Linked DNA regions of Struthio camelus. The protein of the gene in region 4 interacts with the protein of the main gene of each other region in a pairwise test. Links are inferred from orthologs where the notes say so. Each region holds a gene or a part of one and is shown on either strand. Other genes may lie near its edges. The genes, in order: LNX2, WDR62, SHMT1 and MAPK9.

Region 1 (7,949 bases), on a different chromosome or scaffold from region 4:
TGCATAAACTCTAACAACTGGTACCACAAATGCACGTGCCTGAACAATGGGAGAATGTTAAAGGCCGCAAAGTCAAGTAAAATCATTCATGTTTTCTCTCGGTCGTTCAGAAAAAGGGTTAACCTTTTTGCTGAAAAAGATCAAAAATATAGATTAAAAAATGAACACAATTAATAACAGATACAGATAAACAGATACACATAAAATTACAGGCAATGAGAACAGGATATGACTACAGAGAAGACTGGATGCTTTTAATTATAGACAGCACTGCCATACCTACCCATGCCATCATCTCATCAACGATCCCCAAGAGAACTGTACCGGCAACGTATTTACTGGAATTACTTCACAGCACACAATCAATTACTGATATGCACAGATCTGGGAGCAGGAGGGCAATAATCAGATACAATTTTGTACAACATCTCCCAGAGTAAGAGAACATTTTATCAAATAGATCTTCTCCAAAGACCTTTGTAGCATTAATAATCAACTGCAGTCTATACCAGTAACGTTCAACTTGAAAAGCTAGGTTATTGAGCTATGGTGATCTCTGAAATCACTGAATGCTTAAATCTACTTTCTGAAGTACTCTAGGTCCTGAGAGCTAGCTACAGGCCCAGAATGAACAGCCAGTTTCTACATCAATTTTATCAAAGTACTTCTACGCTGACTATGTACGCTATTTTTGAGTGCGTGCAGGATCCAAAGTAAAGGGGCCATTGGTACTCAGATTATCTCTGAAAAATTAGATATCAAGACTTTCCATGAAGCCAAGGACTGAAGCTATTGCCTGCTACAGTAGAAGAATGACACGAAAGGCCAATGTTTGTATAATTGACTCCTACGAGTTAATTTGTCCTATTTGACCACATTTATTACAAACACTGACAAAAAGGGATATCAAAAAGAAAGCCTAAGCCACAACTAAGAACAAGAATAAAAAAAGGCACTAATATGCCACAGACTTTCTACCGTGTGTTCAAAGGCAAAGATATTCCACATCAGGCATGCTCATGCTCTAACTCTCCCCAGGCCAGGATTATTTCTTACCTAGCTAAGTCTATTTTCAGCACATTTCCGTGCTGATACTCTCAACGGCTTTGAGGAGTGAGGATACCACAAAATTTCAAACAACGACTTTAGCTTGCAAATCACCTTTTTGGCCACAAATATGGGAAAGAATTACATACTGAACTAAGTAACATGACAGTTAGATTTTTAACTTAAAAATAACAGAAAGAATAGTGAGAACTGTCGAATAATTTCTCCAAGGCACAAAACTTACTTGCTGGAAACTATAATCGGGACAGCAAAAGTACTAGACTACTGATTGTCCACAATGCAGCTCTTGTGTACAGAACGTTATCTCCTTAAGAGATGCTTATTTCCAAGTACATGATACTCCAAGCAAGCTTGACAGGCAATTCTAAGAGGCTATGATACTAAAGGTTGTGAAATATCCAGAGCTGTTGAGAGACGAAATTGATTATGGAAGAATCTGGACACACAGCACAGCAAAGCCACTTCCTTTATATTGCCAGATTAACCACGTATTTTCTGTGCTTTGAACACACAGACCCATGAAGACAGCTGGTGGGAATTGTTTGGATAAGGAAGAAAATAGTGACCTCTATCATACCCCAAAGGACATTTAGTAGGAATTAAGTAGGAAAAGTAAGTACACCTGCTTATAGGGAAAATATAAGATAAACAATTCTCAGTAGCTGATTTGTAACCTTTTTTCCTACTTCCTCTAGGATCATATACATTTTACTCTGAATTATATATTAATAGAACGTGGCTTAACATTTTACACACTTGAAGTATTTACAGCTTTTAGGGTTTTAAATCCCAGGGTACGCAACAGTCACATGGTAACACAACTTAGCATCAGCTTTGGTAGTGACTACCACTTTCTATCAAAGCGAGAAAAACATCAAACACAAGATCAAGCGAGAGCCAGACACTGTAAAATGGAAAAATAGAAGCAACACCGAACAAGCAGAACAGAGAGACTTCTCTTTAGATGGTCACAAAAAACTGGGACAACTGACTCCTCTCAATAAATCGCTGTTTGGAAACCTGACAAAATGCACTTTAGGCCTGAAAGAACCTGCATTAAAGTAGTTACAAACTTTTTTTTATGCTACATTAACTAAAACCACACATACAAAAAGTCTTACACTGTTATTGAAGACTCGTGCACTGAGATAAGACTAAACTGAGATAAATACGATGAAAAATATTCCAAATAAAAACGTTTTTGAAACATCAAAAATCTACCTAAAATATTTATGCTGTGGCTGCAGAAGAAAAATGCCATTATTCGTAGGCCAAAGCAATATTTTAAAGGGCCAAAAATTACGAAAGCTAACTGCCATAGCTGTACATCTGACATAACGTGAGTATGATCACCAGGTAGCTGGATATGAGACTAACGAGTCATGTCTGTAAGCCAAAGGATAAAGAGAGGTCAACACTAGACTCTTGGGGACTGTATGGAGAAGTGTGATGGGAAATGCTCAAATACGACATTTAAATGCACACAGTGTGAACTGAATTAAGGGTGCTACTAACAAAAAGAGCTTTTTTGAATACTGAGAGCATGAAAAAGTAATTAGCTAATGAAGAAGTGTAAGACAGATCCAAGATAGAAAACAGTAACCAATAAGTTCACTATACTGTATATATAATATGCAAGGAGCTGATTAAACATGTAGCATGGATTCAAGGTGCAGGACAGTTAAACCCTTCTGTGCCTCCTCTGGCAAATAATACACAGTTTCCTCCTCACTATCTACCTTACTGCCATGAAACAGGAATAGTATATTCAGCATCAGCTTGAAATAAGAGGCAAATTTGGCTGGTGGAAAGGAGAGCGTCAGAAAGAGACTCTGGAGCAATCTCTCGCAGCTACGCCCCAAACTGCCTGGAGAACCACAAGTCCCCGGCACGTCAGCAGCGGCCAGAAGAGAGACAGAACGTGGAAGGAGCTGTGACAAAGTTTAGATTTGATATGATTAAAAAGGGGGGCATAAATTTGGAACAGCAGTCATAAAAATAACATTCCTGCATATTTAGAAAGAAACTTGAATTTCTGTACTGATGATGTGAAAGGGGAGGTAGCGTACAAGAATTAAAGGCCTCTTAAAAAGCTTTGTGCTCTCTATGCCTTCCACCACGCCAACACTATTACATTTGTCCTATTTAAAATACTTGCTAAATATAAACAGCGAGAGAAACAAGTTATTTTCTACCGACTCTTAAAGTCAAGGAGAAGAATCACGAGAAGAACGGTTCAGAAAGCCTCTAGTCATCGCTGTCCCCTAAGTTTTCTGCCTGTTAGAAAAGTGGAGCGAAGCTCAAGGAACCATGTCAAAAACCCACCACGTTAATCATTTCTTCTAGACAAACCTGCAAGAAATAGCATGATTATCAAAAGAAAAGATCTACCTGTGCTGTAAATACTTAGAGTAAAGCAGGAGTAAGGCACGCCTGCGAGGACTGAATATTCGGAGAGAGAAACGTGCGTTTCAGTCCGCAATGTTTGCTTGGGAACACCACAGCTCAACCACAGCTCAGCACGCGCAGCAAAACACATCGGCTCATCCACGCCAAACCGCAAGGCACGGAGCACGTTCCTTTTTTGACAAAACGACCGCAAACATTTTGCCATAATACAAGAAACGGGTCATTTTAACAGCTGGTCAGCTGGCAAATCTCTAACGCTGAGAACCAAAACCGACTAGAGTACAAGTTTAACTGTGTGTTTTTTTTATTTTTTTTTGATTTTAGCAAGTGAGGCTAATTGCTGACTTCCAATTAATGAGAGACGAGCCAGCTAATGCTTTTAAATCTTCTTCCTGAACAGTACCAGCAGCATTGCGAGGAGATTTGACTTTTTTCTTTTCAAGCAATGATACACGTATATATTTTCACATTACGCCGGAAAAAAATTCATTTAAAATTCATTTATTTCGCACAGCAGCGCCCGAGGGGAGGGTTCAAAGCTCCGTCCCGAAGAGGCCGAGGGAGGAAGCCGGCCGCCGCGCACCGCCCACCCCGCGCGGCCTCCCCGGCCCCCCGCGGCTCACAGGCCGCCGGGTCGCGGCCGGCACCACCTCCTCCTCCTCCTCCTCCTCCTCCTCCTCCTCCTCCTCCCGCCGCCGCCGCCGCGGCCCAGCGAGGCCCGGTGGCGCAGCCCGCCGCCCCCCGCTCACCTCTCCAGCTCCGGGTCCTCCTCCATGGCGCGGCCCGCGGCCGCCGCTCAGGCGCAGGCCGCCGCCATGTCCCGCTGGCGGCCGGCGGGGGCGGGGCGGGGCGGCCGAGGACCCCGCGGGGGAGGAGCCGGGGCGGTGCCGGCCGGCGGCCGCCTCCCCCCTCCCCCCTCCGCACCTGCCGCCCGCCCGCCCGCCGCGCCCCGGCCCGGCCCCGGCCCCGGCGCCGCTGCCCCTCCCCGCCGGCTGCCGCGGGCGCCTGCCCCCGCCCGAGAGGGGCCGTTTCCTTCAGCGCCCCCCGCCCAGTTGCTGCGGGCGGGCGGGCTCGGGAAGCAACTCTGGCGCCAGTCCTGGCGGGACGGGGCGACCGGGGCTGTCCGCGCTCGCTTTCCGCTAAGGCGAGCGGGGGCCGGGGACGGGCTAAGAGCGGGCTTGGGGGCTCCTCGCCCAGCGCCGGCAGCGGCGGCTGGGGCAGCGGCGGCGGGGGTGCGCCGGGGCACGACACCGCCCCCCGCGCCGCGGCGCTGCTGCCCGCGGGGGCCCCTCACCCTCCGCCCGCGCCGCCGCCGCCGATCAGGCGAGCGGCGGGGCCACCCCGGGGCTGCGGCGCGGCCCGCCCCGCCCGCTCCCATAGGCTGCGGCGCCCCCGCGCCCGGGGCTGCCGCCGGCGAGGCGCGGCGCGGCGCGGCGGGGCGGGGGCACCGGCACCGGCGCGGCGGGGACGCGGCTGGGCCAGGCGGGGCGGGGCGGGCTGGGCCGGCCCCGGCCCCGAGGGCTCTGCGCGCCCGGCATGGAGGCGAGCGCGGCGCCGCTCTGAGGGGCGGCGGCGGCGGCGGGAGCCGGCGGCGGTGAGTAACTTCCCTGCCCGGCTGGGCGGCCGCTGAGGGGCGGTGGCCGGAGGCGGCAGCGGGGCCGGGCCTGCTCGGGCCGGGCCTGCCTCGTGGCGCAACAAGTCTGGGGCGGGCGGGCCGGGGCCGGTGTTCGTTCAGGTCGCGTCTGTCGCGTTGAAAAAACCGTCGCGGCTGGCGAAGCAGGTGGCAGCGCTGAGGCGGCGGCGAGGTGGGGGAGCGGCGGCGGCGGGACGGGGACGGGGACGGGGACGGCAGCCCCCTGCGGCTCCGCCTGCCGCGTTTCTGATGCACAGCCCGTCTGGTTGTGCACTGCGCCAGAAATCCGCGGTTAAGTACTGCTGGGCCCCATCTAATTCCTTTTTTAATTACACGATGTTGTGGGTTTTCTTTCGCGCTCGCGTACAAAGTAGGAGTTTCTGTTACGCGCTGGCTTTGGGGTGTCGTTGATCCCCCTCTGGAAATAAATCATAGAAGCGTTTGAGCTTCTTTGTTCAAAAGAGAAGCTGCTCTGAGCTAGGCTCTTATTAAATAAACAGCTGGACCGACCGATTTCTACTCCGCTACCCAATTCCTTGTGGCCTCGTGATGTTTTATTCTAAGCTGCGATCCAGCAGCAGATCAAGGAGGCTTAGGAAGAAACATCAGATGGTTTCAGTTAGTGTCCCTGCCCGCTCGGAAAATAACCACCTTAGTACTGCCATATGCCGCCGTGACTTTTATTAAAACAGATTTCCTCAGGGTGGAAACAAGGTATTTAAGCATACTGTCTGGGACCGTAAGGCTTAATAGGGCCCTTCTAGCATTTACTTTTTGAAGCTCACTGAGTGAGGAGTCTTCTCTTCCTTAAACGCAGCGCTGCAGAACGATAAACCCCGAGTTCGGGAAACTGCAAAGAACGCCCTTTTGTCCAGTGGGAATCTTTTTACATAAAAGTTTATGACATTTCTGATTTTTAAGCTTCTGTGTTATTAAAATTCTAAAATCTCAGTAAACACAAAAAAACCTCCTACACATTGATTTTTAGATCCGAGTTTTCTATAACAAATTCCTACCCTACTGACTTCAGCGACAGATAGCCCAGGGCCTTGGACTCGGGTCTGAGGCTTGCACAAACAACATGATTTCCTAACCCAGGTCTTTAACCTTTTTTTAAAATTTGTTCAAACATGAAGCTGCAATTTAGGAATGAAACTTTGCAAGAGGAGTGCAAGCTGGTGACTAGGTGGAAAAGTTTTGTTCTCTTGAACAGTTAGGTTAATTTAAAAAATAAGCCTACTGAAGCCTATCATATATAATTAGAAAAATATTGGCTTTGACATTGCAAGCTTTTGCGTGTGTGTGGAGCCGACTCACATAAAAGCCTTGATGACCTTAGTGAAACTTTGTTTTGTCATAAGGCTTTGCCTGAACTGAACAGCCTGTGAGTCTCACTATACGTTTCTGGACCAGCATCACTAAAAAACAGCAGAAGTTTGTTAGCTTCCAGTTAAAACTGTCTACTTGAAAATACTTCAGAATATTCCCCTGCTAGACTTTTTTTTCAATCCTATCCTTCTCTTAATAAATGCTTTAAATACAGCCACTTAAAGCCACCGTGAAGCAGAAGTGAGGCTTACAATATCACTCTAAAAAAGAAATGTGTAAGGATATGATGTAGTTTAGACACTGGAATAGTATACATTAATTTCATAAATCAGCAAGATGCTGCTTGTTTAAAAAGCTATTAGATATTAAGAGCTGTAATAAGAAAACAACCTTTATTCAGAATGAAAATGCTTCCTGGTGTATGGAGGCACCAGAGGACACTGGAAATCTGTTTGGTCTAGTCAGTGGTTTGTCTTTGATATTTGAAAATTCTTTGTTGATTTAGTTTGGAAAAGCAATTTAATGTGACACCGTTGAATTGCATGCTTCTAAATTGCTTTATTAGGTCAATGGAGTTTTTTTGTTTAGAAATCATAGTGCCTTTTAAGGATGAAAACCCTTTTACGTGTCATTATTTAATTATGTAATTGTTAGGTCACGGTGTCTAGAGAGCAATAAAAGACAATAACATTGTAGTCTCTGCTTTTTATGGCCTCAATTCTGTAGGCATTCATGCGTATGTTTAATTCTGAAAGTTCAAGTTTTTCTTGTGGAATATGGTGGGTCTATTCTTGGGCTTGATGTTCAGCCTGTGCGTGAATGTCTTGAGGATTTATGTTTGCAAAGTTTGGGGGATAAACCTGTCCCATTTTCGTCCTGACTGTTTTCATCTTTTGCATGACTTCGTATAGGTAGATGACTTCTGGCTTGGCAGTGAGGGCTGGCTAACCAATGGACATGTAACGAGAAACTCCCAACCGTGCCATGGGTCTCCTTCCCTTACAGATGGTAGGAGTACTGTAGAGGAGCTGACTTCATACTTGTGCATTGTAGTGGTACAGACATCTCTCTCATTTTTGGAAGTGTTTTTGATCATCTGAATTTGATTAGGTGACAACCCTTTGCATTCTCTTAGATGTTTATTTGAATGAATGTTAGTTTCACAAATAGCTTAGGACAGTTTCTGTTTTGGAATTTGGGCTGGGAAGAGAGGGGAGGTTTCTAATCTGAGCCTCTCTGATAGTGAGCTAGTGCATTATATGGTAAAAACAAAAGGCTGTGTAAGGATGCAGTTGTTTGCTGTAAAATCGGGTAACTTTTGAAGTTTTAAGATTTTAGGCAAGATTTTAAGTTCCGTTTTATGATTCTGAAATTTTTCCATCTAATCAGTAGAAAGTATTTTAATTAAAAAAAAAATTGCGCTAAGATACTGCAAGATACAATGTTTTCAGCCTCGTTTTTAAGTAAGCAAATTGTATTGTTGCTCTGTATTTGTGGTAGTTTAAGACTG
Region 2 (7,848 bases), on a different chromosome or scaffold from region 4:
TGACCTTACAGGACACCTTGTTGGATGCCACCAGAGAATCCTTCTGCTCAGAAAGAAGCAAACAGCCCCCAGCGGCTCGTCGACGAGACAAGATAATAACGGCCGACGTTGCGATCTTGCTGCCGAGCCGCTGCCTCTAGCCGCCCCCAGGAACGTCACGAGGCAAAGAGATCGGAAAGGGCTATTCTGCCCCAATTTGGGGAGGGGGTGATAGCGGTGTTTCGGCGAGAGTTCACGAGGCGGTTCAGCCGCAGCGAGCCGGCTCGGTTTAACGGGCGATTTGCCAATCGAGCTGAGTTTGGCCGGGGTCGACCCGCGCGCTTAAACGCCTCCAGGGAGGAAGCCCGAACCGAAGGCGACGAGGCCAAGTTCCCGGCTTTCCGGCGCTCACCTTCCAGTCCCACACGTTGACGATCATGTCGTGCTGGTAGCCCACCGACACCAGGTACTTGGCGTTGGGCGAGAAAGCCACGCAGGCCACGCCGTGCTTGTGGCCGTGCAGCTCGGAGAGCTGCGTCCGCTCCTCGACGTCCCACACGCGCACGGCCGGCCGGTGCCCGTTCTGCGAGAGGAGCCGGGGCGGCAGCAGGCTTTCGCGTTTTGCCAGCGCCGCTCCCGCCCCCCCTTCCAAAAAAAAGGGGCTGTCTGACATTTTCCAGCCCGTTTTCGATCCCCCTCCTCCCCATCCGCTGCGCTAGCCAGGCGCGTAGTTCACAGCTGACTGCTATGAGCAGCGTTATCATGCCGACTGACCGGGATCCCCAGTGCCCAAGGCTGGAAACGGGCCGGAAAACACACAAAAAAAAGCTGGAGGAATATTCTTGGCTACTCTGTGCTGCTCGTAAGGGATGTTTACCAGCGCTGGGCAATTAAAAACGGGCAAACGGCATGATTACAAACGAGTCAGACTCACCTCTCCGGTCACAATAAGCTTCCCGTCGGGGGAAAAGGCCAAAGCACTCAGGGTTTTCCTGCAAAAAGATGAGGGTTTTTAAGAACTGGGCTACAGAGAGCCACGCCAGAGGGCAAACTAACGTTTCCTTGCGTCGAACGTGACGTTAAAGCAGAAAAAGAAAAAAAAAAAAGCTTTAAGCTACCCAGATACGGTTCCCAAAAGTCAACCGTCAGCGCGGTCCGCCTTCCCAAGCCCGTTTGAGCAGGTAGAAAACGGCCCGGCGCGCGCCGGAGGAGCGCGCTTTGCCCCGACGCGACCTGAACGCAAACGTCGCCGCTTTCCAAACCTCCCTCCGAGCCCGCTGGGAGGCTGAGGGTAGATAAAGTCGCCCCGAGACCTGGAAGCGTTCAGGATGTGTCTCTGTTTGTTCTTTCGGGGATTTAAGATGACAACGACGCATCTGGAAAAGAAAAAACAAAGGCAAAAGAGAGATCGAGGGCGTACCGGTAGCCGTTTTCCTCGATCGCGGCTTCGGAGGAACGAAGGGGGTTTTAAGGGAGGACGAGAGAGACCGCCGAGAGCTTTAAAGCCTTCCCGTAAAAGCGTTTTTGCAGGAAACGGCAACCTGCCGCGTTTTAAACTCGGAGAAGCCAAAGGTTTAGTGCTGGCACCAAACCGGGATGCGGTTTTGAGGTCAGTTAAGGCGTTTCCGGGCGGCAACGGCAAATAACGCCGTTCGACCAAGCCGGCTTCGGCGAGAGCGAGCCGAAGGGGTTTTCCCCCCCCCCGCTGTTTGCCGGGGGCTGCCGGATCATTTGGGACCAAGGGGGACGAGAAGCGCTTACCCCGCCGGATAGGCGATCTGCCCGGTGGTGGGGTCGCAGGCCAGCGCGCTGCTGCTTTGGGTGGTTATTCCCAGCACTCGCTCGAGCATAACCTGGGGGGGGGGGGGAGAAAAAACCCCCAAAATCCCCCAAATCGGAAGTCGAGGGAAAGCCACGAGGATGCAGGGGGACTCCTTAGTCCCCCCACTAAGGGGACCCCCAAGCCCCGCCCCCTCTACAAGCCCCACCCCCACCACCCCAATCCCCATGGAGACCCCCAAGCCCCACCCCTTCTACAAGCCCCGCCCCTCCACCCCAATCCCCATGGGGACCCCAAGCCCGACACCCTCTACAAGCCCCGCCCCTCCACCCCAATCCCCATGGAGACCCTGAAGCCCCGCCCCCTCTACAAGCCCCACCCCTCCACCCCAATCCCCATGGAGACCCCGAAGCCCCACCCCTTCTACAAGCCCCACCCCACCACCCCAATCCCCATGGGGACCCCAAGCCCCGCACCCTCTACAAGCCCCACCTCCATCACCCCAATCCCCATGGGGACCCCAAGCCCCGCCCCCTCTACAAGCCCCACCTCCATCACCCCAATCCCCATGGGGACCCCAAGCCCCGCCCCCTCTACAAGCCCCACCTCCATCACCCCAATCCCCATGGGGACCCCAAGCCCCGCCCCCTCTACAAGCCCCACCTCCATCACTCCAATCCCCATGGGGACCCCAAGCCCCGCCCCCTCTACAAGCCCCGCCTCCATCACCCCAATCCCCATGGGGACCCCAAGCCCCGCCCCCTCTACAAGCCCCGCCTCCATCACCCCAATCCCCATGGGGACCCCAAGCCTTGCCCCCAAGCCCCTCCCCCACCACAATCCCCACGGGGACCTCCAAGCCCCGCCCCCTTTCAAGCCCCACCCCCACCACCCCAATCCCTATGGGCCCCCCAAGCCCCGCCCCATGGGGGGTCCCCGCTCCCCCCAAAGCCCCGCCCCAACACCCCTAGGCCCCGCCCCCAAGCCCCCCACAGGCCCCGCCCCCCGCCAACGGCCGCCCCCTCCCTTCCCTTCGCCTCACCGCGTCTTCCGGACCCTGGTGCCGCGACCGCCGCCGGAGGGTGAAGAGAGGCGGCGAGTCGGTGCCGGCCCGGCCGGGAACGGGGCCGGGACCGGGCCCGGGACCGCCGGCTCCCGCCATGGCTCCGGGCCGCCGCCGCCGCCCGCCGCAGCTCCGAACTGCGCGCGGCCAGCCGGCGTCCCCACCCCATTGGCCCCCGCCCACGCCGCTCAGCGGCTCGACCAATAGGAGAGCGGGGCGCCGCCCGCTCCGCCCCCTTGTCAATCAGCGCGGGGCTCGGCCAATAGGCGGCGCCGCTGCGGAGGAGGGGGTGGGGAAGCCGTGTTTATGTCCCCGCCCCGCCTCGGCTCCGGCGTGCAGGCCGCGTTGCTATGGCGGCGCCCCGCCCCTCCCCGCCTGCGGCAGCGCGCATGCGCACCGGGGAAGGGGCGTGGCGTGCGTGCGTGCGCGCTGACGCAGCGCGGCGGCGCGTCACGTGGGCGGCGGCGGCGGCGGTGGTGGTGGCCGAGTGGTGCCGGGCCCCGAGCTGCCCCAGCGCCCCCGGCCCGGCCCGGCGCCTCCTGCCGCCGCCTCCTGCCGCCGCCGCCGCCCCCCCCTCCGCGAGTCGGTACCGCCGCCCCGCCCGGCAGGCGCTTCCGGGTCTTGGCGGCCGGGGGCTGACGTCAGGGCACGTCACGGGCCGCGCCGTGACGTCACGCGGCGGGGGTGGGTGGGGGGGGTGGTGCCGTGTCCTGGGCCCGGGCAGAGGTCGCGTGGGGCTGGGAGGGGGGAGCGGGAGGGGCTGGGAGCCCCCCGGGGTGGGGGAGGGGCCCCCGGGGTGGGGGAGGGGCTGGGAGCCCCTCGGGGTGGGGGGGAATCCTCAGGGTGGGGGAGGGGTCGGGAGCACCCCAGGGTGGGGGAGGGGAACCCCCCAGGGTGGGGGAGGGGCCAAGAGGGGGAGGAGCCAGGAGCCCCTCGGGGTGGGGGGAGGGGAGCCCCGGGGTGGGGGAGGGGCGGGAGCCCCCTGGAGTGGGGGAGGGGAACTCCCAGGGTGGGGGAAGGGTCGGGGAGCACCCAGGGTGGGGGAGGGGCCAAGAGGGGGAGGAGCCAGAAGCCCCTCGGGGTAGGGGGGAGGGGAACCCCCAGGGTGGGGTGGGGAGCACCCCAGGATGGGGGAGGGGCCAAGAGCACCCCGGGGTGGTGGTGGGGGGGAGCTGCTGGGGGGGGGGGGAGGGGAACCCCGGGATGGAGGAGGCCTTGGCCTCCCCCCTCCCCTCCCCCACCGACAGCTCCGGCCCCTCGCGCAGATTCGGGACGTCGGTTCGCGCTGACCCCGCGCCGCAGAGCCACGGGGAGGGGGCGATGCCGCCGGACCCCCCGCCGGAGCCCCCCAACTCGGCCGTGACCGCCTGCGACTCGCCGCCGCCGCCTCCTTCCCGGAGCGTCCGGCTCCCTCCTCCTCCTCCTCCCGCCGCCGCCGGGGGCTCCGCGGCCGAGCTGAGCACCGAGCAGCTCGTCGGCCTGGTGCTGCTGCTGCAGAGGAAGGTGAAGGGGCTGCAGCAGCGGCGCCGGCGCCACTGCGCCCGCCTGGAGGCCATGGAGAGCCTGGTGCAGCGGCTGCGCGCCCACAGCCTCCCCGCCCGGCGCGGGCTCGGGCTCCTGCCGCTGGTGGGTGGCGCCGCCGCGAATTTCGGGACCTCCTCCTCTCCGGCCCCTACGTGCTCTGTAGTCGCTGGAGCCCCTATAGCTCCTCTCTGGCCCCTACGTGCTCTGTAGTCGCTGGAGCCCCTATAGCTCCTCTCCGGCCCCTATAGCTCCTCTCCGGCCCCTATGTGCTCTGTAGTCGCTGGAGCCCCTATAGCTCCTCTCTGGCCCCTACGTGTTCTGTAGTCGCTGGAGCCCCTATAGCTCCTCTCTGGCCCCTACGTGCTCTGTAGTCGCTGGAGCCCCTATAGCTCCTCTCTGGCCCCTACATGTTCTGTAGTCGCTGGAGCCCCTATAGCTCCTCTCTGGCCCCTATAGCTCCTCTCCGGTCCCTACATGTTCTGTAGTCGCTGGAGCCCCTATAGCTCCTCTCTGGCCCCTACGTGTTCTGTAGTCGCTGGAGCCCCTATAGCTCCTCTCCGGCCCCTATAGCTCCTCTCCGGCCCCTACGTGCTCTGTGGTCACTGGAGCCCCTATAGCTCCTCTCCGGCCCCTACGTGCTCTGTAGTCGCTGGAGCCCCTATAGCTCCTCTGTGGCCCCTCTAGGCCCTCTCCAGTCCCTATCGCTTCTATAGCTCCTCTCCAGCCCCTATAGCTCCCCTCCGGCCCCTATATGCTCTGTGGTCACTGGAGCCCCTATAGCTCCTCTCTGGCACCCCTAGCTGCTCTAGCCCCTATCGCTCCTATAGCTCCTCTCCAGCCCCTATAGCTCCCCTCCAGCCCCTCTAGCCCTTCTAGCTCTTCTCCAGCCCCTATCGCTCCTATAGCTCCCCTATAGCCTTTGTCCAGCCCCTGTAGCCCCTATAGCCCTTCTCTAGCACCTATAGCCCCCGCAGCCCCTATAGCTCCCCTATAGCCCCTCTGCAGCCCCTATAGCGCCGCCCTTCCCCCGGGCGGGCCGCGCGTAGGCCGTGGCCGAGCCCAGCCCCGGCGGCCGCGGCCCTGCAGGTACCGGCGGCGCGGAGCGTCGCGACCCCCCCGGGACCCCCGCGGGACCCCCAAACCCCCCCCCCCACCCCGGGACGCCTCGTCCTGGGCCCGGCGGTCTCGGCTCGCCGCCGTCGCAGCGCTTTCACCCCCCCCCCCCCCAGCCCCGAATCTGTTCTTCCGCCCCGCGGCGGCTCCCCGTTTCCTCCCCGTTTCCTCGTCCTCCAGGCCTGCCTACAGCCGGAGCCCGGCAACACCGTGACCGTCGTCTGCCGGGACGAGGAGCCGGCGGTGCCGTACGCCGCGCCGCAAACCGCCGCCGTCCCGCGCCCGGAGGAGCCGTGAGCGGAGCCGCCGGCCGGGGCCTCGAGCTCGCGGCACAACGCGCCGCCGCGCCGGGTGACAACCCCCGGGGTGACAACCGCCGCCTCGAGCTCCGCGAGCCGGCGCGTTCGCCACGGAGGTTGGGGGGGGGGGGTTGGCTTCCCCCCCCCCCGCCCCGGGAATCGCCCCGCGGAAGGCGGTTTCGGGGAGGAGGGGGGGGCGCGGAGGGGACCGAAGCGGTGGCTGGGTGGTGGCCGTGCCCCCCCCCCCCACACCTTTGGGTGCTGACGGTGACGAGCCCTCGTGCCCCACCGGTGATTGGGGTGGGGGGGCACCTTATTTTTTTTTAATTTCGGGTTTATTTTGTGACACGGGGCGGCGGGATTGTCGATCGCTTTAATAAAGGCTGAACGGAGACAAAAGTGATGGCGGCGGCGGGGGGTGGTCTGTGACGCTCGACCCTCAGGGTGGGGGGGGGACCCCGGGGTGGGGGTCGGCCCTCGGAGGTCCCCTTGGGTGGGGGTCGGCCCTGGGGCCACCCCTGGGTGGCGGCTGGTTGTCTGCTGACCCTGCGCTCTGAGCCCTGGGCTGCAGCTGTCAGTAGGTTCCAGAGTTAACGGAGGATTGTTGGCAGCGGGGAAAGAAGGTGGCAGCCCTTGGGGCGAGTCTGTGCTGCCAGTTCCCTATAGATACAGGAAGGGGCCCTTCGCCCTCCCTATAGTCTCTGCCCCTATAGGCCCCCCCATAATCCCCTCTCTGCTCTCTTAGCCCCTCCTGCAGCCCCCTATAGCCCCCTTATAGCATCTCTCCGACCCATTGAGCCCCCACAGCCCCTCCAGCTCCCTATAGCAGCCTTCCAGCCTCCGTATGGCTCCTCTCACTTCTTTGCACCCTATAGGCCCCTGTAGCCCTCTTTAGGCCCCTTCCGCCACCCCCTGTTGCCCCCCACGTGCCCCCTATAGCACCCTATACCGCTTCGAGCGCCGTTCCACCCCTTGTAACCTCCCCCAAAGCCCGCTTCCCGTCTCTGTCCTCACCTATAGCCCCCAAAGCCCCCTATAGTCCCCATAAACCTCTCCCCAGCACCCTCGGCCCCCTATAGCGCTCACTACCTGCTGTAGCTGCCCTATAGCTGCTCTCCAGCCGCTGCAGTGCCTCCGCAGCTCCCTATAGCCCCTCTCTGTACCCCCAGTAGCTGCACTGCAGCCCCTATAGACCGCTATAGCCCCTCTCTGGCCCTTGATTACCCCCTCCCCAGGCCTCTATAGCTGCTCCCCAGCCCCTATAGCCTCTTCAAACGTTATGACTCCCCCCGCCATAGCTCTCTACACCCTCTTCCCAGCCTTCATAGCCCCCGATGGCCCCCTATAGCCCCTCCCCAACCTTTAAAACCCACCGTGGAGGCCCTAGAGCCCCTCTGCAGCCTTTATAACCCCCCACAATCCCCTATAGCTGCTCTCCAACCCCTATTGCCCCTCTCCAGCCTTTATGACACTACCATAGCCCCCTATAGCCGCTCTCCTGCCACTATAGCCCCTCTACAGCTTTTATACCCCCCATAACCCTCTATAGCCACTCTCCAGCCCCTATAGCTCCTCTACAGCCTTTATGACGCTTCCCTAGCCCCCTATAGCTGCACCGCAGCCCCTATAGTGCCTCTCCAGCTTTTATAGCCCCCGATTTCCTTCTAGAGCTGCTCTGCAGCCCCTATAGCCCCACTGCAGCCCCTATAGCTCCCCTGCGGCACCTCCCTGGCTCCCAGAGCCTCTGTAGCCCCTCTAACCCCTATAGATCCTCCAGCCCCTATAGCCCCTCCAGCTGCTATAGCCCCTGCAGGCCGTGTAGCCTCACTCCAGCCCCTATAGCCCCTGTAGCCTCTGCAGCCCCAATAGCCCCTCCAGCACCTATAATCCCTTTAGCCCCTACGGCCCTTCCAGCCGCTGTCCAGCTGCTATAGCCCCTACACTCCCTGTAGCCCCCTATAGCCCCCTGCAGTTCTTATATACCCTACAGCTGCTCTAGTCCCTCTAGCCCCTCTCCAGCCCCTATAGCCCCTGTCGCCCCAGTGACCCCCATAGCCCCTCTGCAGTCTCTGCAGCCCCTGTAGCCCCTC
Region 3 (7,021 bases), on a different chromosome or scaffold from region 4:
AATAAAGGGAGCTTGGTCAACGGCTTCACAAACTCGGTGCACAGAAAAGATCACCTATTAACAACTGCAAGTTGTAACGGATCAGCAGCGCTGAAGCAGCCAGGTCTGAACAACCACCTCCCTGCCGATGGTTGCCCTCTCAGCACAGCCAGCCGGGGGGGGGGGGGGGGGGTATTTTGCCAGCAGTCCCAAACACAGTGACAGACAGCTGGCAAGGCAGGGCAAAGCCCCTGTGGGCTTTACACACAGCAGACGGGCACAATGGACACGAAATACTCTGAACTACGCTCAGTGCTAAGGAACCCAGCTGACAAACGAGCACAAGTGGCAGAAAAGTCACACTGGTCTGTATACAAAGGAGGTGTCGCATAGGTATGATGGACCACAAAGGATGGAGAAGTGAAATGGGCAGCAAAGGAAGGGGCATACGGAACAAAATGCTGCTACTTTGACTTTCCCACCCTGCTGCAACTCCAACCAGTTGTTTCATTTCTTTAGTATATTAAGTCATGGCAGATTTGAGATACCTCCAAAATGTCAAATCACACTTCCGTCTGGCAATTATAGCTCTGAAATGAAGGGAAACAGCAGAGAAGAGAACTGCCCCTCTCCAACGGAGCCGGCAACGCAGCACAAAGCGCTCAAGCCCTCGGGACCTCCACTTCCGAAGCGGACCTGGACTTCCGCCTGCTGGCCAGGATGGACTCCTCGCTGAAGGCCCCTTCAAAGGCTGACAGGATGGACTGGCGAAACTTCTCCTTGAAATCCGGCCCCACAAATACATACAGGATGGGGTTGATGCAGCTATTGAAGAAAGCAAGGCTAGAAACCAGGGGGATCCCTATGTAAAGAGCCATTTTCATCTCATGACTGGAAGAGTTTTTGGATATTTCCAGCAAGGAGAAGACGTGGTAGGGAAAATAACAGAGGAAAAAGGAGACTGTGACAGCAATGATAATTCTGTATGGCTTTGCAGAGTTGGCTAACTGCCTCCTTTTCAGCTTGACAGCAACAATGCTGTAGCAGATGAGAATCACCGTGAAAGGGATGAGGAACCCGCATAAGAATCGCGTTACAATCATCGCTTTAAGCCGCATCCTCCACAGCCTCCGCGTTGCCTCAGACGTGTAGTCGTCGGACAGCGCAAAATTGTTGTAGCAGCTGGTGATGTTCTTGGAGCTGACCGCAGTGTCCCGAAAGACGAGGTACGGGGAGCTGAGGAGGAGAGCCAGGACCCACGTCCCCAGCGCAACCCTGGCTGCCAGCTCCGGGCTCCTGCGGTTGTGAGACCACACGGGAAAGGCCACAGAAACGCAGCGGTCCATGCTGATGACCGTCAGGAGGAAGACGCTGGCAAACATGTTGAGGAATGCGATGGTGCTGTTCAGCTTGCACAGGAGCTTCCCGAAGGGCCAGTGGAAACCCAGTGCAGTGTAGGCAATGCTGAGGGGCAGGAAAAAGGTGAAGATGAAGTCAGCGATGGCCAAGTTGAGGAACCATACGGAGTTCACCGTCTTCTTCATCCTGAAGCCTGCAATCCAGATGACAAGGCCATTCCCCGTCACCCCCAGCAAACAGGCGATGCTGTATACCACCATGGAAAGGATATGCATGCTCTTCTGCAGGCTGGAGTAGTGATCGTGGGCAGTGGCGTTCCCAGCCAGCCCGGTGGGAGAACTGGCAGAGAAGGGAGAAGGGGAAGAGGAGAAGTTCTCCATCACCAGCAAGCCAGATTCCTGAAATCATAAAGGCACACACTTCTGTTACCTGCAGCTCCTACAGCTCAGATGAGGTGAAAATCTTTGCTTAACTGCTGTACACAATATGTATACACAATGCCAGACTATATCCACTTTATATACTTAATAACAACCGTCTGCCTATATAATGGCTGAAAGGCTTCAGGCTGGCAGAGGTACAAGGAATTTAAGCCATTTGAACAAGATCCAAGCGAACCTAGACAGAGGGTCTGTGAATCTCTTGGGCTGATCTGATCCTAAATATGCCCTGGAAGTGATGGTATCTGATGAATATCAAAACAACCCAAGGGTAGAGGAGACATCTGAGCAGAAGTTCAGCCACCAAGTGGAAAACTCAGAGTCGTACTGCTACAAGCAAAAATCTGAGGCTCCCTCAAGACAAAGGCAATTCCACATTTAATGAGCAGTCCCCTGGATCCCTGCAAAGCTTATCGCCACCACTGAACACCAGCCTGCTTTCATTGAGAGATGTTTTAAGCCAAGAAATGATAATAAACAATGATTTTTTGCTTGCAACTCCTTTCACCTCATTGCAGCCCAAGGCGCTGCGGTGCAAGGGCTGGCATCACCCAGAGCGGCCTTCCCAGTGCCACATTGCCCTGGGAGCTGGAGAGTCGCCGCACGGCCATGTGACCCTGGCACTGCTCTGCACATCACAGAAACCATCTCAACCGGAGAAACCAACTGAGGTATCGCCATCAGTATCGGTGGTGGCAGAACAACCCTTCCATAAACTGCCTACAAAAGCAATCAGACATGGGCTGACAGCAGAACCAGGGAAACCCAAATCCTGCTGCTGCAAGGAATCGTCTTGGGATGGCCAAGGACAGATTAAGATAGCAAAAAAAATTGGCCAAACTGATAAAGCTTAGGTTACAAGACCATTGCTTCAAGAGATACCTTCTAGGGACGTGTACTCTAATAGGCAGAAAAACACTTAGTATAACTGTCAGCCACATGCCCACGAATCCCCCTCCTGGTAAGCCCCCAGTTTCCCTTGCCCCTCTTGCTCACCCCAGGGCCCCTTATCACAGGTGCACGAGAGGACTCACCACAGCGCTCTGCTCCTCGCTCTGCCACTGACTGCTGCTCTTGCCTCCTGGCTGCCTCACCGTTAAGACACTGCTCTCTGGAGTGACTCACAGTGCCTAGTTTCATCTTTCCATGCCTTGGGATCATGGGGAATTTGGTAGGATCACTTGTTCCTTAGTCCTTTTCCTCAATTTATAATATAGTGAATTTAACCCCTGAATTTCTGGCTGTTGCATGGCTCAAGTTGGTCAACTGCATTAGCTAACTTGGCTTCAAACCACAGAGAAAACAAGGCCCCTCTCCTGCCTATGCAACTCATCCCTGAGCGGTAGCTTCTTTCCTCTCAAGCACCCAGACACCCCACTGGGCATCCAGGGTTCCCTGCTGCAAAGGGGAAGGAGCAGGCACCAGTCCCCATGGCAGCAGCACCTGGCTCTGTGCATGGCACACTCAGCTAACGGCATCATGCCACGGGGCCTTGCAGGGAGGGGTTTGGCAGGGAGCACCCGGTGGCTGGTGGGGTGGCTGGGAAGCACCCTCTGGCTGGCAGGGCTGCAGCTGATGTGGGGAACACCCTCCATCTGATGGGTCAGCTAGGAGCCCCCTCCAGCTTGTGAGGTGGCAAGGAGCACCCTGTGGCTTGTGGAGTGGCAGGGCTCCCTCCAGCTTGCAGAGAGCCCCCTCAGCTTGCAGGGTGGTTGGGAGCATCCTCCAGCTGGTGGGGTGGCAAGAAGCACCCCCCCCCCCAACTTGCAGGATGGTTGGATGTATCCTCTATCTGGTTGGGCTCCAGGGTGGCAAGCAACACCCTCCAGCTCATGAGGTGAGGAGCACCTTCTGGCTGGCGTGAAGCACCCTCCGGCTCCTCCTGGGAGCACCCTCCAGCTGGTGGGGTGGCAGGGGGCCTCAGAGCACCCCCCAGGTCGTGGGGCAGCTGGGAGCACCCTCCGGCTCACAGGGTGGCAGGGGGGCTCGAAGCACCCCCAGCCCACGGGGCGGCCCCGCGCCCGCCGGAGCGCGGCGCTGCACGGGGCCAAGGTCACCCGCGCCCGCGCCGCCACGCGCCAGTGGCGCCGCCAGCCTCGCCTCGGCGCGGGCCAATGGGGCGCGGGGAGGAGGTGAGGCGCGGCGCGGATTGGTCGAGACGCTTCCTGGGCGTGTCCCTCGCCAGCCTACCGGGGCGGTGGTCAGGCGGTGATTGGCCGAGGCGCGGAGGGGAGTGTCCGAACGTTCTATGGTAGGCGCGCGGCTTCCCGCGCCGCGTGCGGGAGCGTGACTCAGGCAGGGGCAGGTAGGGAGCGCGCCCGGCGGTGCCGCTCGCCCCACGGGGACCCTCGGGGCTGTGGGCGGGCTTGGAGGAGCCCAGGCGCGGGCCGGGCATGCACTTGCCCCGAGCTCCTGCTTTGCCCTCCCCGGGGGGACGGGAGAGCCCCGTGGCCTCCCACCCTGCCCTTCCCCGCAGCCTTTCCTCCTTGCAGGCAGCTTTGGTGACAGGGCGGTGGCGGCGGGGAGGGTTTCCACGGTGCCAGCGAGGACCCGGGCTTGCGGGTCGTGGGGAGGCCAGGCCAGAGCAAGCAGGAGTGCGGTTGCACAGCCAGGGTGGGTTGACACGAATAAACTAAATGCGGTTGCTTAATAACCTGCTCACGGCCCTTTGCTAGGCTGGCAGGGTTAATGGATAAAAGAGATGCATTGTTTTTAGCCGAGACGGAAGCTGGGCTGTCACTCTCGTCTGGGAGCACGTGCTCTGCATCATAACGCTTGCAGTGTTTGCACTGGCGGGTGCGGGAGGGCTGCTGCCACAACAGGGCAGCGTCGGGCCAGGCTTCTCCCCAGATTCGGGCTGGGGGAAGCCTGTGAACCTGCCCGCGCAATCCCCGAGCAGAGCGGTGATGGGGCAACGTCGGAAATAACCAAAGCACCGTAACTGGAGAACCATCTTAAATCAGTGGGGCTTCCCCAAGAGGTGTCGGGGTTTTCCTCACCCTACTGGCCAGCCCCCATTGCGTTTCGGGGGAAGGCGTGGGATGGGAGCAGGTAGCACGTGGGGGACACGGCCCAGAGGCACCCGGCCCCACCGCCATCCCAGCCAGCTCCACAAACTCTCCCTTTCTGGCTCCAGGCTACGTTGGACCCAGCAGGCAGATGGCGAACTCGGCGCAGGGCAGCGGGGGCCTCCCCAGCACGGAGCTCTGGGCCTCCCATAACAGGATGGTAGTGGAGCCGCTCGACAGCAACGACCCGGAGGTGAGAGCCCTTTCCTGGCACGGGCCTCGGCAGCGGAGCAGCCTGTACGGTCAGTGCAAGCAACCTGCTTCACTCACCCTCTGGGCCTGGGCAGCCACGGGGACGCTGACCTCCCCAAGCTGGTGACGCAGGGGCGAGACGGTCCAAGGCTGAGCTGGGTCTCACCAGGTCTCTGTGCCAGGTTGCCTGCAGCGAGAGGTGGAGAGGAAGAGCATCCTCCAAGTGCGTTGCTGCACAGTAATCGAGCTAACACGGTCTTCACTTCACATCTATTGCTTATACCCCTCTGCTTGAAGCTCACATGTCTGCACAAGCACAGATGGCCAACCAGACCAGCATGGCCAAAGCCTAGTGCATTTTGTAGCCACCCTAGACTCTAGCCCAAATGACAACCAAATTAGCTGGCAGCTTCCTGGCAGGTAGAGACCCAAAACGAGGCCTATGACAGAGCGCATGACAGAACCTGTTCAGGATCGGTTGTACCAAGAAGGGGTCTCATTTTTCTTCTCCAGTACCTTTCCAAGCCGCTCTCCATCACGCTTTCCCCTCTGAGGGTGCATCCCTACCTGGCAGCATCCATGTCTCATGCAGAGCCAGTACAGTGAAGCAGTTTCTCCTGTCTCCCAAAGGTATACAGCATCATCATGAAGGAGAAGCAGCGCCAGAAGCTGGGGCTGGAGTTAATCGCCTCTGAAAATTTTGCAAGTCGAGCAGTCCTGGAGGCCCTGGGATCCTGCATGAACAACAAATACTCTGAGGGTTACCCAGGACAGAGGTACAGGGCAGGGCAGAGTCCAACTGACCCAAACCCTTACAGGGAAAAGAGAAACAACCCACCCCGTGCCACTTCCCTCTTGAAATCTCACCCCCGGAAAGGAAGCGGTATCATGGCACTGGCCCAGCCAGCCGAGCTCCTCCAGGGCAGGATCTGAACCCCTCAGCTTCTGCCCGTGGCTGCGCGTGGGACCGTCTCTGCAGGGTCACATCTGCTGCAGCTGCTGCCCTGGTAGCTGCCGCAAACATGGCGTTGCCTTGGTTCTCCCCAGCCAGCATGGCCTTGGTCACGTGGACCTTTCTGAATAATCAGTTTGCTTTTAATCCCCTGCAGTTTGCTCTAAGCAAACAACACCAACCCTGGCATAAATCCCACCTTGTCCTTTGCCAACAGGTACTACGGCGGGACAGAGTTTGTAGACGAGCTGGAAAGGCTGTGTCAGAAGAGAGCCCTGGAGGCGTACCAGCTGGACCCCCAGAAGTGGGGAGTCAATGTCCAGCCGTACTCAGGTAACCGTGCTTGGCAGAGCCAGGCTGCGCTCCGTCAGCCCCCACGTGCCCTGGCACTTGTAACAGGCCTGCTGTGCTCTCGCTGCAGGGTCGCCCGCTAACTTTGCGGTGTACACGGCCCTGGTGGAGCCCCATGGCAGGATCATGGGGCTGGACCTGCCCGACGGCGGCCACCTCACCCACGGCTTCATGACGGACAAGAAGAAGATCTCTGCTACCTCCATCTTCTTTGAGTCCATGCCCTACAAGGTATGGAGAACCACTCCAGCTGGAGCAGGGACGTGGCAGTCATAAGCGTTACAGCCTCTTAAATGCAAGAGTAATGGGGTCCAACCAGGACGGTTACATCTGTGTCCTGTCCCCAGGGTGTGGGTGACCTGGGAGGTTAGAAGGAGGATGACTTAGAAGGGGTGGGATGCCCCTTCCCCTCTCACTACTTGTGCTGTCAAATCACCCTTCTCCCCGTATCCCCTCCTGCGGGATGGCGCTGGGACTGATCCTTACCCATGCCAAGGTGGCTGAACTGTCCTTTTTGTCTCCTAGGTCAACCCCAAGACTGGTTACATCGATTATGATCGACTAGAAGAGAACGCCCGCCTGTTCCACCCCAAGCTGATCATAGCAGGTGAGGGTCAAACCCTTATTAACCTCCCTGGTAATGCACCAGGACTGGGGTGGCTCCCTGAAGCCATTAGCAC
Region 4 (7,544 bases):
TCACCTATATGCACTCTGAAGGCATCCTGGCTGGTGAGCTGAAACATGGGCCATTAGCCCTAATAGATAAACAAATGCCGGTTATCATGGTGATAATGAAGGATCCTTGCTTCACCAAATGCCAGAATGCTCTGCAACAGATCACGGCTCGACAGGTAAGCTGTCCTTATAGGAAAAGAGAATGTGCACATTGAAATGTATTGCTGTTGACTGTGCTTCAGAAATAGGATTTTTTTTTTTCTTTCTAATTAGAAAGTTGCAAGTAAGGTGCTGCATCTGCATCACAATTTGTCATTAAAGGTTGACACCAGTAACAGAAAACTGACTGCATGTGAGTGTGTTTTGGTTTTGAAGCAAGTGGAAAAATGTTAAAAATCTACAGGACGAAAACATTCAAGTCTCGTTTACGTAATGGCTTTTGTCACTCACGCTGTTGTGCAAGACTGACATTGTTCTTGTCTACTATCGAGTGTCTTCAAACATATTACAGACGTGCCGTGAACCAGTATCTCAAAGTATTTCTAACCCAGATATTCACTAACTCTTTAAAATCTCATCTTCAGGGTCGCCCAATCATTCTGTGTTCCAAAGAAGACACAGAAAGCTCAAAGTTTGCCTACAAAACAATTGAGCTGCCTCATACGGTTGACTGCCTTCAAGGAGTCTTGAGTGTTATTCCCCTCCAATTGCTTTCGTTCCACCTGGCTGTTCTCAGAGGATACGATGTAAGTGCCTTCTATATTTAGGCAATCCAGTTAGAGCAGTTGTGAACTTCCTCCTACCAGCGTAAAGTGAAAGATATAGTTATATGGCATCTCTAACAAGGAACTATGATAGTAGTTAGGGGTACTGGTAGTGACTGTGATAGTAGAAGTGACACTTTAGTGCCAATTCTTCAGCTCTATTTTTGTAATTGGCATCCTTAAAAACAAAAAAATTCAGAAATATAATTTGCTTAGTTCTGACTCTTTAAGAATGCAAAGGTACCCTGTACCTAAGGTACCTAACAAACACGGTTTTGCACAGGGTACCTTAGCAGGGCTTTGGAAGCAAGGATGACTTCAACAGTGAGTCATTATCTGCAGATCAATAGTCTCCAGTGTGTGTTCATGAGTTCTGCTCTATCTAGACATATTAGGAAGTCTAAAAAAGCACATATGAAATTAAGTGTCAGATGAAGAATGTTAGTTTTACTGTCGTATACTGAAAGTCTGTCTTTTCATTCTAGGTGGACTTTCCAAGAAATTTGGCCAAATCTGTTACCGTAGAATAACAGCCAAGAAAAGTGGATGTTTTTGTCACCAGACCTCTAAGTTATAACTCTATAAATGTGTGTGGTGTTTTTTTTAAACTTGATAGGTACACATTTTTCTAAAGAGAATGACAATGCTAACTGGAAAGTGTCAGAAGGCTTTATCTTCTTTTTATGCAGCTTTAAAAGCTTTTGATGTGCCTTGTACCCAAGTGCTTTTGCTCACAGCAAACGTTCCTCTAAGTTCTGAAATTGCCAAAGGAGAAGATAAAAATCATTGTTTACACATGGTATACTGAATGAAGTTTTCTACTGTGCAATATATATATAGAGCTCTCATTAGAGCAACTGTGAACATTTTTTTTAGCCTTCACTACTTAATTAGTTTTAAAGATATAGTATTTATAAGTACAATTGTATAGCTTTTTTAAGTTATTTTTTTTAAGTATGTTGCTTATCTTGTAGCATTGATAATGCTCAGAATGTAAATACTGAGCACACTGACACTTGTGTCTGGTTGTTAGGTTTTTCCTGCTTCAGCCTCAAACGGCAAATCTGTTGTCCTTTTTCCTCCTCGGCTTGCCCTCCCACTTTGCATCTGTGTTTGTATTTAACCAGTCTGTTCCAAAGCTCTTCTGTGGCTGTAAATTGCCAGCTATGTCTTAAAGTCATGCTTCTTTCAACGAACTATTTGAAAAGCCAGAGCAACAGTTTGCTTTGTATGCTGCCCCAGCTCTTATTTGCATAACATGTACAGTGCAACAAAATAAGGGAACTGGATGTCTTTCAAGCGATACTTCTGTTTGAAGAGTTTACGATGAAATTACTATGCAATTAAAGAAAAGATGATGTAAATTCTTGCTGTTTGTTTTTTTCTTTTCCCATCTGACTCCTCCTCCTTTCAGTCTGAACATGATACAATACTGCAATACTCTTATGCCAGTAGGAGAGACAGTGCTCCCCTAGCTTTGCCTAAACCCTGGTATCAAGAGTTCTTTCTCTTCTGTTGCTTGAGGTAGGCGTGTGTGGGTTACTTTGTTTTGTTTTTGTGTCCTACAGATCTCTTTTTAGCCACGTGTTCTTTTACAAAGGTGAACACACGTCACTCTCCTTCTCCAGCAGCTGTATCTCAAAACAGTGAGTTGGGTTTTGGTAGTTTGCTCCATATCACGCTTTTTTCCAGGCACACGAGTACAGGAGAAGCAGAATTTGGTGACTGCTCCTCAGTTTTTCTTTTAGCTCTCCCTGCTCAGCAGGCTGGATGTTGTGAGCTCTGTTTTTTGGGTACCTTAACTCAGACTTTAGGAATGCTACTAGTAGAATCTCATGCTAAAAATTAGGTAGACCAGGCCTTCGTGTCCCCACCACTACCTCCCTTTGGGGATCTGGGTTTCAGTTCCCTATTTGTGATGACTGGAAGAAAATGACTTTAAATTGAGGAAAATGAGTAAGTCTTGCTAGTCTAGTAGACGTAAATACTAGTAGTTGGTGTGATGGAGTTCATTTAAATGCTAGGTGACTCTTCGGAGTAATTTAACCGTACAACATTCCTAGCTAAAAGCTTCACCAGACACTTAATAAAACGGCAGTAGAATCTTTGGCTATAGTTCTGACTACAGTTCATACTAGTTAGTGACTGAGGCTTGTATTCTGCCTTCCTCTGATGTAAATGAATGGGAAGAACTTTCCCAGAGCTGAAACAGGAAGCTATGTCTATATTTTACACTTGCTGTCTGTGGTCATAATGTTGCCTTCTAGGCCAAGAAAAAAATTGCAATAAACTTGCATTTTAATAGAGTACCTACTTTACAAATAATGGCACATTAAAAACTATTTCAATAGCAACAAAAATATTGTTTACACCTTCAAGCAAGTACTAATCAAGGAAAAATAAGAATTTTGTTAATATAAAAGGCCCTACTTAAAGATTTCAGGTCTCAAACTGTATCTATTTGCAAAGGCACACTTTTTTAGTTGTGAACTAGCAACAGGAAGCATCAATAGGCCTCAAAGAAATAAGGTAGATATATGCATGAGGGTCTGTAGTCATTTGTAACTATCAGGAATGATCTCTTTCATTTCTGTTTTTTGTTTAATAACTCATCTAAATCCTTGACTAAACATTTTCTTTATGTATGTACAAGACATCCCCCTGCAGGTTTGCTTCTAAACTGAAATGTTTAGAACGTAGGTTAATAATTTGAAAGGGGTACACTAGCTTGCTGTAATAGAGCCGTTTCTGATAATTACTTTTTATAACTACCTAGAAGAACCCCAATCATAACTAAAAGCACTGTGATAATCTGACCTAGATGCCCAGGACATGTAACTCAATATTTGACCTGCTTTAGTAGGTAACAGAAGGGTGCCTCCAACTCTCTAGAATTACTATCCTCCTCATATTAATAGAGGAGCTATTACAGGAAGCTGACAGCAGTGCACTTCAGAGGCTAGCTGAACTGATTTATTTAAAATAAAACTGCAAAATAAAACTGTGGCTTTTTTTTTTTAAATCTCATGCGTGAATAAAAAGAACGGAAAAGAAAGCTTGCTCTCTTTTCCTAGGAGAGGCAGGAAAAACACATCAAGTCTATTCTTGGTCACCACCTGTTTTAAGAAACAAGCAGTCCTAAGGTCAAGGTAGAGAGATGTATAGAAAGCTTATGTTTTTTTGAGAGGGGACAAAAACAGTTGAGTGAGGTAGGAGATAAATATTCCCTTGGCCTCCGAACCAGCCCTCGCTGGAAGAGCTGCGTGGAGCTGGTGGGTGTTGGTACTGCTGCAGGTGCGAGGGGACATAAGGGTGCTGCTGCTGCTGCTGCTGGGGCCCTGTCCGACCCTCCCACCCTGCAGTGCAGGCTTGGCCACCCCACATTGTCACGGGTCCTACCAGGAGCTCCTGAGCACGGAGGTGAGGTGAGGGGCTGCCCACGTGTGATGTCATCTTGGGCTGTTGAGGGCCGTGCTGACCTCGCAGCGTGCCTCCCTCCACCTGCTGGGGCAGGGCCGCTCTGAGGAAATGCTGCCGTCACCCGGCCGTGGGGGCTGGCGCCACAGCATCTCATGACGGGGCACCTCTGGGCGGTGATGACATCATAAGCACGGTGACCGCCTGACATGGGATGATGACCTCACTCCAGGGGGCGGGGCCGCAGCCGGATTGGCTGGAGCCAACCTGTCCCCACTGCGGCCCTTCCCCGTCACCGCCTCCCTCCCTCGTAGAGCGGCGAGCGGGGTCCCGCCCCCGGAGCTCGATTGGCTGAGTGCGGCCCCCGGGAGGCGCGATTGGGCAGGGCGGGTGTCTGTCAGCGGGCGCAGACCTGGCGCGGCCTGTGAGGGGCAGCGGGAGGCCATTGTGGCTGGGGTGGCCCCGCGCGCTGGAGGAGCAGGGCGGCTGCTGCGGCCCCGCAAACGCAGCGCCCCGTCCTGTCCCGTCCGGTCTCGCCGCGGAGGAGACGGTGAGAGCGAGGCGGGGGGCGGGGGCGCGGGAGGGGGCCGGCGCGGGGCTGCGGCGGGGCCGCCTCCCGGCCGTGTGGTGAGCGGAGCCCCCGGCTCGCGCGGGTCGCCGCCCGCCGCGGCGGCAGGGCGGGAAGTTCCCTCATGTCGTGGCCCCCTCGTCCTCCTCCTCCTCCTCCGCCGAGAGGCCCCTTCCTCCTCCTCCTCCTCCTCCGCGGGGCCGCTTTGGCCGAGCCCCCCGCCCTTCCCCTGTGCCGCATCGCCAGCGCCGCCCGGCCGCGGCGGCCCCTGCCCGCTGCCTTGGCGGCTGCCGGCTGCGGCGGCGCCCCCGTCCCGGCCCGGCCCGGCCCTGTGGGAGGTGGGGGCCGGCCGGCCTCCTCGCCCCGCTGCCCCGCGCCGCCTAACGATGCGGCCGGCCCGGGGGCCAGGCCGATGCGGTGCTTCTCAGGCAGCGAGCGCCAGCCTCCTGCTGAGCCAGAGCAACTTCGCAGCGGAGGCGATTTTAGAAGTATTCGTATTTAGTTATGCGGCTCTTATGTAATCTTGAAACAGCGTGATTTGTTACAGCAGATGCACGGTTAAACTTTTTTTTTCCTCCTTCTGCCAAGTCGTGCTAGCAGGAGAGCTGAGGTGCATCCAGGGTTTGTCTTCAGCGTTTTATTGACAGCCAGATAATGCTATAACAGGTAGTTGTTTACAAAGACTTTCGTCACTAGTAGTTTTGGAAATTTAAAAAAAAAAACTTTTTTTCAAAGTGCTAAATTGATACGGAGTATTTCTAGACTGCTGTAACTGACTAATGTCAGTTACTGTTTTGCTGCACTTATGTTCTGTAGCAGACTTGTTCCAGGCTGGTAAGTGAAGTGATATGGGGTAAATTGTAATGATTCTGCAAGCTGGATTTATACCTGTTGATTTATTGCTATTGAAGGCGGTTTTTACCTTTTTATCTTAATGTGCCTTAGAAAAGGGCGTCCTAATTTGAAATGCATTTATAAATGTGAATAAGAGAATGGAGGAAGGGGGAGATTTTTCCACACAGGCTTTCTGTATCATACCCCCCTAGTGTCTTCATCCAGTTCGTTTAGAAACAGTCCACCTGATTACAAATATATATATGTGTATGTATTTATTTGTTTATATTATACACACTTTTCTCACTGCCAGTGATGGAATTTTAGCTCAAGGTTTAAAAATCTAGCTAAGTATTTAGCCTTCATTGTCATTAATGCCACTCTGTAACCAAAACAACGCTGGGAATGTATTCACAACTGTTACAACCTGTTTGTTTCAGAAGCTTTTGACTTGAAGATATCCAGAGGACAGATCTGGTTAATAAGAAGTTGCCATTTTAATAAAAGCTTCTTAGAGAAGTGACTATTTAATACAGTATGTGTACTATAGTGCAGTTGCTTTCAGCCTTTTTTAAATTTGTTGGCTGCCCCAGATTTTCCACTGGGAAGTGGAATTCTGTATAACAACTCATAAGCCTACTGTGGTAGGTTTGGGGTTTTTAGTTCTCTAATTATCTTTCACGGACTGCAGGTTGAAAACAACTCCTGTAGGTGTTTTTACGATTACTGCATGTGATGTGCTGAATTAGGTTTGTGGTGATTCTTTCAATCTTGACTCATTTTAATTCAGTAACATGCTGTTATCAATATGTAGAAGTATGTTTGCTGATCGTCCTATGAATGAATGTTTTGCACTTTGGTGCTGATCGTGTTTGTAGCTGCAGCTAGGAAGCTGTAACTGAAAATGTGTGTTTCTGCAGTTGAAATACGTCTACTTCCAAATGATTTCTCTATAGGAGAAGCATGGAATTTGTTATGTGTCCTGTTAACAGGAGTGATGAATCAAAGTATTTTGGGTAGGAGAGTTACAGCTCAGGGCTTGGCTTTTGAGCAATGGAAAATCTGTTTTTACTCAAGGGGTCTGGCCCCCAAAATAGACTCTCTGCCTTAAGCCCAGTGAACACCTACAGTCCCTACGCACCTAACTTTCCACTGATGGGTATGTCTGAAACAGCATATGTCCTAATGCTTCTGAACAGCTTGCAGCCCAAGTAAGAATTAGGACTCAGCTTGCTTCTTCCCTTGCATGTTTTGTGGAGAAGCTGGGTAGTCAGCACTGTGAATTCGAAAGGATGTCAAAATACATAAAAGCTGCACGTTATTTCTCTTTAGGTCTTGTCCAAAGAGCTTATCCTGTTTTCTAAATGAAGTATTTTTGAAAGATGGTTTTGTACAGGCAAGGTTCCTCTAAGTGAGAGTTTCCTTGGTTCAGGGTAACTTCCTTTTACCCAACTTTATCTCTGTAACAAGAAAGTGCTTCATTAACCCATGAAGAAGTACAGTTTGTTTTTTCACATAAATAACTATTTTTTTGACTTGATGCCCAGCTTATTCAAACTTTATACTTTTTTCCCCTCTGAAAATCTTTGCCAAAGGTAGGATCTTGACCTTTCTTCTTATCTTGCCTCTCCAGTCATACCTTTCTTCCCATGTGTGAAGATTTACTGAAGACACCAAAGCTGCTCAGTGACTGTTAATCAAAAAATTTGATACGTTAGAGTTAGCTTTGGAATAAAAAAAAATCTGTGTTTGCATGTGATTCCCTTTCTGGTGGGTTCCTCAGCTAATACTCTGTCAACCAACTGAGTTTCTTATGCTTTTTGCTTAAAGGAAGACTATCCTCCTAGAGTTTATCCATGCAGGGGATGTTGTAAATGGTATTAGTGCCTACGTAATGCTTTGGTATGCAACTCCCTGTGCATCTGACTGCACCTGAAAGTGTTGTATAGGAGACTTGCATTTCTCTTCCTCCCTGCCCGTCC

Evidence for each region.
Region 1: the proteins of MAPK9 (region 4) and LNX2 interact in binary tests that used the Homo sapiens proteins (3 or more experiments, as listed by UniProt). The link is inferred for Struthio camelus from reciprocal best matches to the Homo sapiens genes MAPK9 and LNX2.
Region 2: the proteins of MAPK9 (region 4) and WDR62 interact in binary tests that used the Homo sapiens proteins (3 or more experiments, as listed by UniProt). The two-hybrid records come from large-scale screens. The link is inferred for Struthio camelus from reciprocal best matches to the Homo sapiens genes MAPK9 and WDR62.
Region 3: the proteins of MAPK9 (region 4) and SHMT1 interact in binary tests that used the Homo sapiens proteins (3 or more experiments, as listed by UniProt). The two-hybrid records come from large-scale screens. The link is inferred for Struthio camelus from reciprocal best matches to the Homo sapiens genes MAPK9 and SHMT1.

The regions. Positions count from the first base shown.
Region 1 is NC_090942.1:200,708,276-200,716,224, forward strand, and holds the start of LNX2 (ligand of Numb protein X 2), read left to right. Parts: upstream 1-4,939; 5' UTR 4,940-5,071; intron 5,072-5,147; exon of another isoform or gene 5,148-5,282; intron 5,283-7,350; exon of another isoform or gene 7,351-7,447; intron 7,448-7,949. Other genes in the region: protein POLR1D, read right to left, coding at 4,227-4,252.
Region 2 is NC_090957.1:1,836,893-1,844,740, reverse strand, and holds the start of WDR62 (WD repeat-containing protein 62), read right to left. Parts: upstream 3,007-7,848; 5' UTR 2,992-3,006; coding exon 2,802-2,991; intron 1,833-2,801; coding exon 1,741-1,832; intron 1,537-1,740; exon of another isoform or gene 1,400-1,536; intron 1,356-1,399; coding exon 1,293-1,355; intron 1,200-1,292; exon of another isoform or gene 1,098-1,199; intron 972-1,097; coding exon 914-971; intron 625-913; coding exon 392-624; intron 44-391; coding exon 1-43. Other genes in the region: THAP8 (THAP domain-containing protein 8), read left to right, coding at 3,212-3,408, 4,088-4,448, 5,640-5,756. UniProt on the Homo sapiens protein: Required for cerebral cortical development. Plays a role in neuronal proliferation and migration.
Region 3 is NC_090956.1:3,587,803-3,594,823, forward strand, and holds the start of SHMT1 (serine hydroxymethyltransferase, cytosolic), read left to right. Parts: upstream 1-4,014; 5' UTR 4,015-4,083; intron 4,084-4,207; exon of another isoform or gene 4,208-4,391; intron 4,392-4,914; 5' UTR 4,915-4,937; coding exon 4,938-5,039; intron 5,040-5,116; exon of another isoform or gene 5,117-5,225; intron 5,226-5,605; exon of another isoform or gene 5,606-5,668; coding exon 5,669-5,814; intron 5,815-6,207; coding exon 6,208-6,323; intron 6,324-6,411; coding exon 6,412-6,572; intron 6,573-6,866; coding exon 6,867-6,948; intron 6,949-7,021. Other genes in the region: chemerin-like receptor 1, read right to left, coding at 642-1,718. UniProt on the Homo sapiens protein: Interconversion of serine and glycine.
Region 4 is NC_090954.1:6,436,385-6,443,928, reverse strand, and holds the start of MAPK9 (mitogen-activated protein kinase 9), read left to right. Parts: upstream 1-4,539; 5' UTR 4,540-4,710; intron 4,711-5,316; exon of another isoform or gene 5,317-5,394; intron 5,395-7,544. Other genes in the region: GFPT2 (glutamine--fructose-6-phosphate aminotransferase [isomerizing] 2), read left to right, coding at 1-155, 564-725, 1,229-1,273. UniProt on the Homo sapiens protein: Serine/threonine-protein kinase involved in various processes such as cell proliferation, differentiation, migration, transformation and programmed cell death.